Saccharomyces cerevisiae S288C: one gene and its partners. The protein of the gene in region 3 interacts with the protein of the main gene of each other region in a biochemical or structural test. Each region holds a gene or a part of one and is shown on either strand. Other genes may lie near its edges. The genes, in order: SFT1, BET1, SEC22 and GOS1.

Region 1 (2,929 bases), on a different chromosome or scaffold from region 3:
CGATAAATTGCACGAATATCTTCTTCAGAGCTTTCCAGGTGATGTCAGTTTTGCTGTTTACCCAGTCCCTGAGGAAATAAGTAAAATTTCTATTATTATTGTTAGCACCAAATATAATCCAAACAATTTCTGGAACGGCCATTGGAGATCAAGCTACATCTACGATTTGGAGACCAGGGAGTTATCCGGTCAAATCTCTACGCAAGTCCACTATTACGAAGACGGTAACGTTAGTTTCCAATCTGGGAAGGATATCAATCAATCTAACGTTGATGACGTTGTTTGCACAATAAGGGATATTGAGACGAATTTCGAAAATGATCTAGATCTTTCATTTTTCGACTTGAACGAAAAACAGTTTAAGGCCTTAAGAAGAAGATTACCAGTCACGAGATCCAAAATTAACTGGGGTAGTGCGATTGGCAGTTATAGATTGGGTAAGAATGCGGCAGAAGGCAAATGAAATTTCATGCCTGCCTTATTCCATTCTCTTCCTATTTCTTAAATTGAATACATCTATGTACATTATTTATTTTTGGCTTGATTGGCTCACTAAAATAACTTAAACAGGGTATATAGAATGAAGAATATTAATAACGCCAAACCCACCATTCTCCATATGCTATTACCAGCCTTTAATGATCGGGTTAACCTTGAGGACGAATTTTTGATATCGGTAAACATCGATCCCAATGAATCTGTCATTTGGTTTATGACAGAACTGTCAGAGACCGCTCGGTCTCCAATCTCTTGGTTTATGTTTCTGAATGTAGCTAATTTATTGGCTAACCCCTCTAGTTTCCTATCATTCTGTTTAAAGTACATGTACATGAAGGGATGATACATCTGCTCATCCGGTGTACAGAAGCAATAGTTAGTAGCTTATAACATCCATATAGCAAGCTAGGTCCCATTCTAAACACCTATGCGTGTTGCCGGTGATTTACATACGTTTGATTCGGTCTGAGAATACCTAGAATTTGACATCGCTATGATGATTATATATTACCTTTCTACCGTTCTCTCCTTGTTGAGTTCTTCCAGTATCCTTCTTAATGATATACCTTATATTATTTCCTCTTTTTTTTTCTGCATGTAGCAATGCGCGGCTTCTTGCAATAACAAGAAAACTAGAGTAGCTAATTTACTGCATGAACCGTACATTCAGCAACAAGAAACATAAGATACTTACCGCACAATATTCATTGGTCAGTTACCGTACACACGAAGATCCTTTCTGAGTAGCGTAGTTTAAGGGAGCACACATTTTTAAATTCTAAACATTGCCTCAAGATGTTCTCCCATATACAAGGAAGGAATATTGAGCAACATGGTTAATCTGCCAGTTGCAACAACGCAAGTGTTATTAGAAATATTGTTCAAGGAAAATATCAGATAAAAAATTTTTCGCACTTCGCTAATCACCCATATAGAACATGGCGGTGTTCCAAGTGATTAGCCCTAGATCGCAAATTATATCATCATTCAGTTACCTTTCTCATTGAATCTTCTTGATAAGAACTACTGGTACCTCAAATAGGAACGAAATATGATACCACTGTATCATACTATCATTCTCAACACATTTGTTATATATTTTATGTTTCTACTGAACCTTTTGTCAGTCATCTCACTAGCAGCTGCGATTAACAGTCATCGGATATTTAAAATTGAAGCTTTTAAAATTGAAGCTTTTAAAATCAAACATGAATACACATTGGAGTTCACTGAAGAAATTAGGTTTAAATAAAAAAATCCAGCATTAGTTGTGAAGTAAAAAAAGACAAAACCAGCAAATTCTTGCCAGAATGTAACTATACTCTGAGTAAAATAATTGACAGCGCAAATACACCCATACACTATTTTTACATCTTGACATCACATACATAATATGTGTGAAATATCAAATTTTGAGTGTCCGTTATCAATTTTTTTTCGATTTTGCATTTTATGAAGCTTCAAACAGGTGTCGGCCTAACTTTCCGCCCGGAAAAGAGCGGTTTACGAGAGATTGCTGCTTGCAGCTGCGTGCATTTTTCCATAATCGGGTTTCCCTTCAGCGCGCAGTGTTTCCATTCTCAGCCCAATTGGCAACGGAGAGAGCGTAGAGCTTTCAGTGGACTGCCCTTCGTACTCGTCGAGTACTATTGAACTGAAAAAAAAGTAATCTAAGGTTAAGTTGATCAGGTCTGCCGATTGTATAACAAATTTAATTGTTTGTCTTAGTGAACAAAGAGAGTCGTGAAAAATAAAATAAACAATGTCCACCGATTCTATTGTCAAGGCTTCTAACTGGAGATTAGTCGAAGTTGGCCGTGTGGTTTTGATCAAGAAGGGTCAATCCGCAGGTAAATTGGCCGCTATCGTCGAAATTATTGACCAAAAGAAGGTATGTTAAATCCGGAAAACCTATCATCGATTTGAGGAGGGAAATGAACGAGGAATGAGATTTAGGCTACGAAAAAGTGCTGGCAAATATCCAATCCGTTACCATGGATGAAGCTACTTGTAAACGATAAGTAAATGTGAAAATACACATTGCGATAGAGATACAAAAAAGTCTTTATTTCCCTGTTGGAGTGGCCTATAGTGGATTATTTATTTATTTTGCTAGCAGCTTACCTAGTTTCAGAAAGGTGATGACCCATATTTGCGCAGTTAATTCTTAAAGAGCCTGACCATGTTTCCTCAAATATTAAACCATGCCTTCCATCGTTTTGAAAAAATTTCGTTTACTAACAACTTTTATGAATAATTTTTTTAAATTATTTGTTATAATTATTATAGGTTTTGATTGACGGTCCAAAAGCTGGTGTTCCACGTCAAGCCATCAACTTGGGTCAAGTTGTCTTAACTCCATTGACCTTTGCTCTACCAAGAGGTGCTAGAACTGCTACCGTTTCTAAGAAGTGGGCTGCTGCTGCTGTCT
Region 2 (3,086 bases), on a different chromosome or scaffold from region 3:
GATATTTAGATATTTCAAAGGAGAAGAATTTTTTTAGAAAATATGGTATTACTGGAGAATATAAAATTGGTGATGTGATTATCATTGATAAATCAAATAATTACTACTACAATAAAGATAATTTTGGCAACTCCTTGACTTCTAACAACCCTCAATTGCTGAGAGAAGCATTCGTGTCCTTAAATATTCCATCAAAAGCTCTATACAGCTCTAAGTTGAAGGGGAGATTGATAAATTCTCCATTCCATAATGTCCTCAGTTTCCTAGACATAATCCACGGGAACGGCATGCCCGGTTACTTAATTGTTATTGTTTTGTTTATCGCAATACTCAAAGGTCCATCTATTTACAGAAGATACAAAGTAAGGAAACACTATAGGGCGAAAAGGAACGCTGTCGGTATCCTAGGAAATATGGAGAAAAAAAAAAATCAAGATTAAACGCTTAAGTAGTTATAAAAATAAAAGAATGCTGATATCTTATGATGCTATCATAACTATCCTTTATTTCACGTATCAATATCTACAATCATCTAACAAACGTCGCTCTTATTTTGTCACTTAGGTTTAATGTACAATATGCAAATATTTATGTAATCCATACCCAAAAAAATAGCACGCCTACCATAAAAAATATTATTAACCATGTTTTTATACTGATCCCAGATCTTCTGGCCATCTCCATCATGTTTCCAAAAGTCCTTTTGAGTTTTACAGAAGTGTTATGGAAAGTATCACCAAGCTGGTCAATAGTTTGATTGCTGCCTCTAATCTCATCACCCATCTTCAACGATAATGACTTGAGTGCTTTTATTCTCTGACCCATAGCTCCCATCTGTTCCTCACTTTGAGATTCAAGAGATGCCAAAGTACTTTGGGAGTAGTCTAATTTATCTGTGCTCCCTAGCGCTGATGATACATTGTCATCGAGACTATTTGATCCATCAGCCGGTCCGAATAACTGTGTTCTACCAGTATCACGTTGATAAGCGTTTCCCCCTGCAAATCTATATACACACGCTATAGTTAGTAAACGAAGTTCACTCGTGGTCAATAACTCCCAATATCGAGGTGTTATGGTAGATGTTTAACAAAAAGCGCTACTCTAACTTTAGAATAGTCTAATAATTTCTCATACCTTGAACTCATCTGTGTAGCCTAGTGTTGTGAGGCTCTTCAATCACATTTTCTAACACATTCACAGTCTCAAGTGAACTACTGTTTGTTTTCTACCATTCCTTGGCAAAAGGCGCGAGTTGAAAAAACTCCATTTTTAACAACTACTGGATACTTTCGCAATTTAAAATTAATGGAAGAAAGAGCCGTGAACGTTCCTACGTAGCTTGCAACAACGGTAGAGTAGTATCCGCCAATTAGCATGCATAAATTTCATCTGAGATAGTGCAACATTATAAAAAATCACTAATACTTTCCCTGATATGTCGCCCCTTCAAATTTTTTGCACGCCACATCGATAAGAGTGAAACATATCCCTGAACAGTAACCTAGAATGTACAGAAATAACTGGAAATACAATTACAAAGCGATAATTACGGGATCTTTGGTTCCTATCACAGAGTAAACACCATGGGTTTATTAGATATTATTTGGAAGAATCACATTAGACGGCTCATCGCGCAAGTAATAGCAAAATGGAAAGAAATCGGAAGGCTTCATTAGTCATGAACGTTTTACACCATCAAAATGAAAACTATACACATGCGTCGAGGAGCACCCAAAACTAATACGACTATTACAATTAAGCATGGAGGAACAGGAGATAGGCGTTCCTGCGGCCTCTTTGGCAGGAATAAAACATATCATATTGATCCTTTCCGGAAAAGGTGGTGTCGGTAAAAGTTCGGTAACGACACAGACTGCGCTGACTCTTTGCAGTATGGGCTTCAAAGTTGGAGTTTTAGATATTGATTTAACAGGGCCATCCTTACCGAGGATGTTTGGCCTAGAGAACGAATCTATATATCAAGGTCCTGAAGGTTGGCAACCTGTGAAAGTGGAGACAAACTCTACTGGCTCTCTTAGTGTAATATCATTGGGGTTTCTACTAGGTGATAGAGGGAACAGCGTGATATGGAGGGGTCCTAAGAAGACTTCTATGATAAAACAATTCATCTCTGACGTCGCCTGGGGTGAACTGGATTACTTACTGATCGATACCCCTCCGGGAACGTCGGATGAACATATATCGATTGCAGAGGAGCTGAGATATTCCAAACCAGATGGTGGTATTGTAGTAACTACCCCACAGAGTGTTGCAACAGCTGATGTCAAAAAAGAAATCAATTTCTGCAAGAAGGTCGATTTAAAGATCCTCGGTATAATTGAAAACATGTCAGGGTTTGTATGCCCGCATTGTGCTGAGTGTACAAATATCTTTTCCAGTGGGGGTGGTAAAAGATTATCGGAGCAATTTTCTGTCCCATACCTTGGTAACGTTCCTATAGATCCAAAATTTGTAGAAATGATTGAGAATCAAGTTTCAAGTAAAAAAACGCTTGTAGAAATGTACAGAGAATCATCTCTTTGTCCCATTTTTGAAGAAATAATGAAGAAACTGAGGAAACAAGACACTACAACCCCTGTTGTGGATAAACACGAGCAACCCCAGATAGAATCTCCAAAATAAGATCCTCTCCTATGCATGTACGTATATATATATATATGTGTGTGTGTGTGTTTATATACACTTATATTTTGATCCTTGGGCCTAGAAATAAATTTCGATTCCTATTTCGATTCCTATATCGAAAGGTGGTTAGAAGCTAACCGGCAACTGCAGCATGTTCTTCAAGTGGTGATACAAATTTAAAAGGCCGGGTAAATATTGACAAAGAAATAATATTTAATCACACAATTTTGAGAAAGAGCAACTGAATCAATTACTCTAGAGAAATCGCAGAACACTTCACTCGTCGTCAATAATATGACTCGTGATACACCCGAAGATGTCAGTACTGCAGGCGCAAAGGATATTTTAGATGTTTTGAACCTACTAAAAGGAGGAGAAGAGAAAATCTCGGAAGTCGAACTTAAGTTGGATGAAATGGAAAAGAAAATGGACTCTCT
Region 3 (2,868 bases):
GTAATCTCCTTTAATTCCTGAATTCCGTTGATGCAAGAATATTCGTTTTCACAATTATATAAAACTGGAGTGGAGCGGCCATCTTGAGAGGGTCTTCTCACGGTTTCGTCAAATAGAAAGTGCGTCTTTTCAGCCGTGATAATAGCATCCTTGTTGTCAATGGTTCCCAATAAGGACATAACTTTGGTTTGAGGGTTGGAATCGAGGACACTAACAAATTGGAATCTCTTGATCAATGAAGCAAAATCTGTTGGCAGTTGAGACATGGTATATGCTAATTTTGTCGTTTCGCTTTCTTTTTTTTTCCAGGAATTATAACTTAATACTATGTGATTATTTAGTTAATACACAGACAGTTAATAGAGTAGTGATGGCAATTCGATCATCCAAAAGAGTTGGAAAGCCTCTTTTCCTTCGATATATAGTGATGATATCCTTGAAAAGACTCCCTAAAAAGTGCAGGTGCGGCGGGTCACCTGCCAGCTTGCCTGAAAAATACGTAATTATGTCAAATAAATTGCCATACTATACTAATACTGAACTAGACTATGTTATACACTTGGACCAAATTGATCGGGATTTGTGATGTGGGATGATGGGGTGACGTCTATTTGAGGAAGATCCACCAGAAGAGAAAGACGAAAAAGAAAGCGACAATGACAATAGGAGCATATTGACTGATCAAGAGATCGAAGTTGATCTTTTGCGCGGACTTTCTGTACCTTTTGGATGTTTCTTTCAAAGAAGAACTCATGTCACTCATTTTATCGAGAGAATCTCCCCTGTAAAGTAGGTCTTCGATGTTCTTGGACATGATTTGCTTGACACCTACAAGCTCTTGGTTTAGTTGGTCCAAATTGTCCTGAACTTTCTTATCACTGTATGACTTTTTTGTCATCTGTAGAAAGTTATCAAAGTTTACAAACTGGTATGGTCTTACGGTAGGCTTGGGGTACTCATTAGCAAATGAGTGTTCAAATTCTTGCGCTATATCGTTAAGGTATGAGAATGCTAAGTTTCTTGGGTATCCAGATTCGCAAATGACGAAGTAGTACACCATGGATTTCTTCAAATAATGGATCTCAAAGGAGCCACTTTCCAAAGTAGCCTCCGTGGCAGACTGTGGTGTCAATCTGGAAACGACGATTTTCACCTTTTGCTTTTGTTCAAATAATGAGGGATCATTTTCGTTGTCCACAGACGTACAAAGAGGCAGCCCATCTTCTCTGTAGATTAGTGTTGACTTTATCATCCCTACTTAATTGTGAGTGTGTAACGGGGTGTCACTGTCAGGGTTTTTGTTGGTTTTGGGTAATAATAGGTTGTAGATATATTATATTACATGGGCTCTACTTGTTTATCTTCTATGGTAGAAAAAGACCGAAAAATGAAAACAAAAAGCGTTGAGGATTTATTGCTAAAAAAAAATTCGTTTATGACGTCTCTTATTAGATAAATCAAGTGATAACTAGAGAAATTTATTTAATTATATATGCTAGTACAACACGTTTGGTTGAAAATTAGACCTCAAACCACGACAAACTTCTGTCTTATATCGAAGAAAGTTGGGAAACTCTCCCGCAGGTCCAGATTTGGTAAATGGTCTTGTAGGTTACTGATATTAAGAACGTAGTTAGAGTCGTCCTCTAATTGAGCAAATCCCAATTTCTTGCATTGTGGTAGTTCATTCCATGAAGTGAACTCTATACAACTCATATCATTTGACGCTTGTTTTTGGTGTTGGGTGGTGTCGCAAAGGGTATTGTTGATGAACAGTTCCTGCAGATTTGGTAGGTAAAATCCCTGGATTCGGATGGATGAACATTTTTCAATACGTATGATTTTGACAGTGAGCGATCTTAAAGAGTTGTTCTTCAAGCAAATCATTGGCCTCTTTAAATGGTGTCTTTGTTTGAAGGTATCATCGCTAAATGAAGAAGTAAAGGGGATCCAGTTGATTATTTGAGTTTTTTCTACCCCCTCAGGTATCAACTTGACTCTGAAATAGCAAGTACCATCGTTGGTTTCGTTAATTGCCATTTCTTGCAAAATTTTAATGTTTCCCCTCAATGATTTGATGTACCTTTCTGGTGAACCTGAAAATGTTGTTTCGTCATACTTGAATTTGTGCCCAGTGAATTCTTTAATCTTGGGCATTGACCAATTTTTCAAAGAGTGCAACTGAAAGAGGAAATTTATCGAGATATTCTCACTTAAACATTTGTTTAGAACATATGAAGATAAATCTATGAAGTTACAACATTGGGTAATCTCATTATTGTTTGGGTAGGTAGACATCTTAATAAAATTCAAGGTAACCAAATTAGGGAAGCTGATATGAAAATTGTTGAAGAATTGTTGCAAGATCGACTTGATAATTAAAGCTGCTACTGTCGTTGTCGAGTTTAAATTTAAATTTTTATCCACGTCAAACTCATTGTTCCTTTCAAATGTTTTTATCTTTGTTGTTAGTTTATGCAGTATCGAATTAAAGAATGAATCAAGGGCCATATAATCCAAATTCAATGTTTCAACAAAGGGAAAACAGATTTTCTTGCAAATGGGGGGTCTTTTCTTCCCCTTTTCGTTAGTCTTAGAAAAGAAGTTTCTATAGTTTTTATTAATCAGCTGAAAAATATCGGGATCAAAAATCCCAAAGAAATTTTGATCCGAATAGATATTTGAATCCACGAAGTCCAGATACAATGTGTTAATATCAATATCTGCGACTATGTTCGCAATATGTAATTTTTCCAAAGGTGAATAAAACGAACTCTTTATATTGCGAACACAGAATACGAACTCGATTATGTTTGAATTGGAATTCGCCAAGGGGAAGAAGGTTTCTATGAGTTTCAAATCTGAGAA
Region 4 (2,838 bases), on a different chromosome or scaffold from region 3:
TTGAACAGAATGCATCTGGATGAGGTCGTTCCTACATCAATACTGGCGATAAGCGGGACGTAGTCACTTCGTAAATCTTCCATTATTTTGGACATACGGCTCTGTTCTTGTTTTAAACTAGTGTAAAGGCGCTGGCTTGATCGGAATATGTAACGTTTGGAGAATACTACAAGTCGGAAGAGAGAGGGAAACATATAACTATTTGTATAGTTCCGGCCACAACTCAAACCACATGGTATATTTTATATGGTTCGAGAACAGGCATCCCCCCACATTTTATTACACCTTATCCGTTCTAAAAGTCTTGGCTGTCTTTTTTTCCTTTCCTTTTCCTTTTTTTTTTTTCAATTTTTTTGTCAATGCAGTCAGCCCCTCACTATGCTACTCCACACCCTTTAATTGATGGTTTTACTCCAATTAGAAGAGAAGAATTACGAAATGGCCTGTATGGGTAGATTCTTGTTATGTTTTTACATACGTTGTTTAATAAAAGTCGTTATTTACCATGTGAAAAACAAAAACAGTATACAAAGGGTGGTTATCGTGGCCAATACAAACGCGTTTTTCTTCCTTCTCGTGTTAATCTTCATAATAAGCTGATTGACACCTGGTATTCTTTGTAAAGTTTGCAACACCTTGTTGTTTGCCGTGTTCAGCACGTTGCTCTGCGAGTGGAACTGCGACCGAGTCTCCCAGGCTTGGGAGATGAGACGGTCGACTACGTTGTTGGACTGATCGATTCGCCTTGTTTCGTTCTGAATGTACTCGTCAGCATCCCCTATAGGAGCTGGCGCGTCCGTTGTGGAATTAGCAATATCGTTCTTCACGCTGAATAACAAGTTTAGTCTGTTGCGCTCTTGCTGGATGGAGGACCTGATATTGCGGAAGCTCTTCCAGTGGTCTTGTAAGATCTCCTTGTGGCGGTGCAGTTGGGAAAGCTTTGAGGCGGAGATTGCCGGGTTAGAATCGCAGATTTGTGTTAATGAATCGATTACATCCTGTCTCTGGCCTAAGATTCCCTCCAACTGCTTGTCTATCTTCTTTTCTTGGCCAGTTTGTTCTGAACTAGTTGTCTGCGCGAATGTGGAGTACTTGGAAAGAAGTGACTCCGTTTGTGTTTCTAGAGAAATGGCCTTGCCCCTTATGGTGACGAAAGACGGTTGTGAGCTCATGTGGTGTGGTTGCTTGTCTGGAATTGGGCTTTTCCCTGTGTCTAGTTAGTTTATTTTTTCCTTGTCTTTTTATCTCTTTTTTTTTGTTTTTCGTTCTCTTTATTTTCAACAACGCCTAGAAAATTTGGTTACCAACCACACTATTGAACAAAGATAACTAACTGATTGAACAAGAGTAGGCGTCTTACACTGGGTTTGCAAGTGTCATTGACTTTTGTTGCATTGCTGTGAAATGCACATTCGGAGCAGTTGAAGGTCTCTTGCTGAATGCTCACATATTTTCAAAATATTGTTTTGGCTGCGGAGTTTGTGCCTGATCAGTAACTACCAATCTCGTGAGATTTTTCATAAGCATCTTTGAAAGCTTTTATACTTATTTGATCTTTGTATATATCAGGTTTTACCAGTTTAGCCGCCAGAGTTTTGGTATTTATGTGTTACCCGGTATATCCATATGCCTTTTCTTGGTGGCAAAAAAAAGGTACTTCCTGATATAAAGAAGCTGGTAAGCTCTCGATAACTGATCTCTTTGTCTTTGTGCAGGATTGGATAATACAATAATTATAGAAAAGTTTCTATTTCACCACGAACAACATTATGTCCATTTCTTCTGACGAAGCGAAAGAAAAACAGCTCGTGGAGAAGGCAGAATTGCGCCTGGCTATCGCAGATTCCCCTCAAAAGTTCGAAACTAATCTGCAGACTTTTTTGCCTCCATTATTACTAAAACTCGCCTCTCCACATGCCTCCGTTAGAACAGCAGTATTTTCAGCCTTAAAAAACCTCATTTCTAGGATAAATACGCTGCCCCAGGTTCAGCTTCCTGTGAGGGCGCTTATTGTCCAAGCAAAGGAACCCAATTTAGCCGCTCAACAAGACTCGACCAATGTCCGCCTTTACAGTCTGCTACTGGCGTCTAAAGGCATAGATAGGCTTTCCTTGCAAGATAGACAGCAGTTGCTACCGTTAGTCGTTTCGAACATCTCGTGTCTAACAGGCACAGTAGCCGCCAGAATGTTCCACATCCTTTTGAAGCTTATTTTGGAATGGGTTGCACCCCAGGAGTCTTCACATGAGCAGGAAGAATTTGTTCAGTTCCTTCAACTGGACAACGACGGTTTTTCGTTTTTGATGCGCCAATTTACCAGGTTTTTTCTGCTGGTACCTTCAAAGCAAGTCCAGGTTTCTCAACAGCCCCTGTCGAGAGGTTACACATGTCCGGGCCTATCTCTAACTGATGTGGCATTCTTTACTTATGATGCGGGCGTTACTTTCAACAAAGAACAGCTGAATAAGTTCAAAAAGGCTATTTTTCAATTTGTTTGCCGTGGCATGGCGGCTACCCAAACTATTGAGCAGTCACCTAGGATGATTGAACTGATGGAATTTTTGTGCGTTGTCTCTACGGATTCTACAAATTTATCTGATGATGCGGCTCAGTTCATGAAACGGTTTCCCATGCCTTATGAAAACGAAGAGTTCATCACCTTTCTTCAGACGCTGTACATCGGCAACACAGCAAATGGAAGACCGCCGGTCAAGGCTATCTTGCAAGAAAAAATCCTGTCCATATTAAACAGAAGTCACTTCGCCACCACCAAAGCAGAATGTATTTCGTTGATTTGCTCTATTGGATTGCATTCATCTGAGTATAAACTTAGATCTT

What was found.
Region 1: the proteins of SEC22 (region 3) and SFT1 form a complex in vitro, tested with the Saccharomyces cerevisiae proteins (3 studies listed by BioGRID).
Region 2: the proteins of SEC22 (region 3) and BET1 form a complex in vitro, tested with the Saccharomyces cerevisiae proteins (4 studies listed by BioGRID).
Region 4: the proteins of SEC22 (region 3) and GOS1 form a complex in vitro, tested with the Saccharomyces cerevisiae proteins (2 studies listed by BioGRID).

The regions. Positions count from the first base shown.
Region 1 is NC_001143.9:429,646-432,574, forward strand, and holds SFT1 (Sft1p), read right to left. Parts: upstream 988-2,929; coding exon 952-987; intron 811-951; coding exon 553-810; downstream 1-552. Other genes in the region: CAP1 (Cap1p), read left to right, coding at 1-463; 60S ribosomal protein eL14 RPL14A, read left to right, coding at 2,261-2,389, 2,788-2,929. UniProt on the Saccharomyces cerevisiae protein: Vesicle SNARE required for retrograde transport within the Golgi complex.
Region 2 is NC_001141.2:347,358-350,443, forward strand, and holds BET1 (Bet1p), read right to left. Parts: upstream 1,149-3,086; coding exon 1,138-1,148; intron 1,007-1,137; coding exon 589-1,006; downstream 1-588. Other genes in the region: protein disulfide isomerase EPS1, read left to right, coding at 1-440; iron-sulfur cluster assembly protein CFD1, read left to right, coding at 1,765-2,646; CMI7 (Cmi7p), read left to right, coding at 2,944-3,086. UniProt on the Saccharomyces cerevisiae protein: SNARE required for targeting and fusion of ER-derived transport vesicles with the Golgi complex.
Region 3 is NC_001144.5:678,584-681,451, reverse strand, and holds SEC22 (SNAP receptor SEC22), read right to left. Parts: upstream 1,253-2,868; coding exon 608-1,252; downstream 1-607. Other genes in the region: DCS1 (5'-(N(7)-methyl 5'-triphosphoguanosine)-(mRNA) diphosphatase), read right to left, coding at 1-266; BOP2 (Bop2p), read right to left, coding at 1,528-2,868. UniProt on the Saccharomyces cerevisiae protein: Nonessential SNARE involved in targeting and fusion of ER-derived transport vesicles with the Golgi complex as well as Golgi-derived retrograde transport vesicles with the ER.
Region 4 is NC_001140.6:38,315-41,152, forward strand, and holds GOS1 (Gos1p), read right to left. Parts: upstream 1,173-2,838; coding exon 501-1,172; downstream 1-500. Other genes in the region: GUT1 (glycerol kinase), read right to left, coding at 1-194; ECM29 (Ecm29p), read left to right, coding at 1,770-2,838. UniProt on the Saccharomyces cerevisiae protein: Involved in transport from the ER to the Golgi apparatus as well as in intra-Golgi transport. It belongs to a super-family of proteins called t-SNAREs or soluble NSF (N-ethylmaleimide-sensitive factor) attachment protein receptor.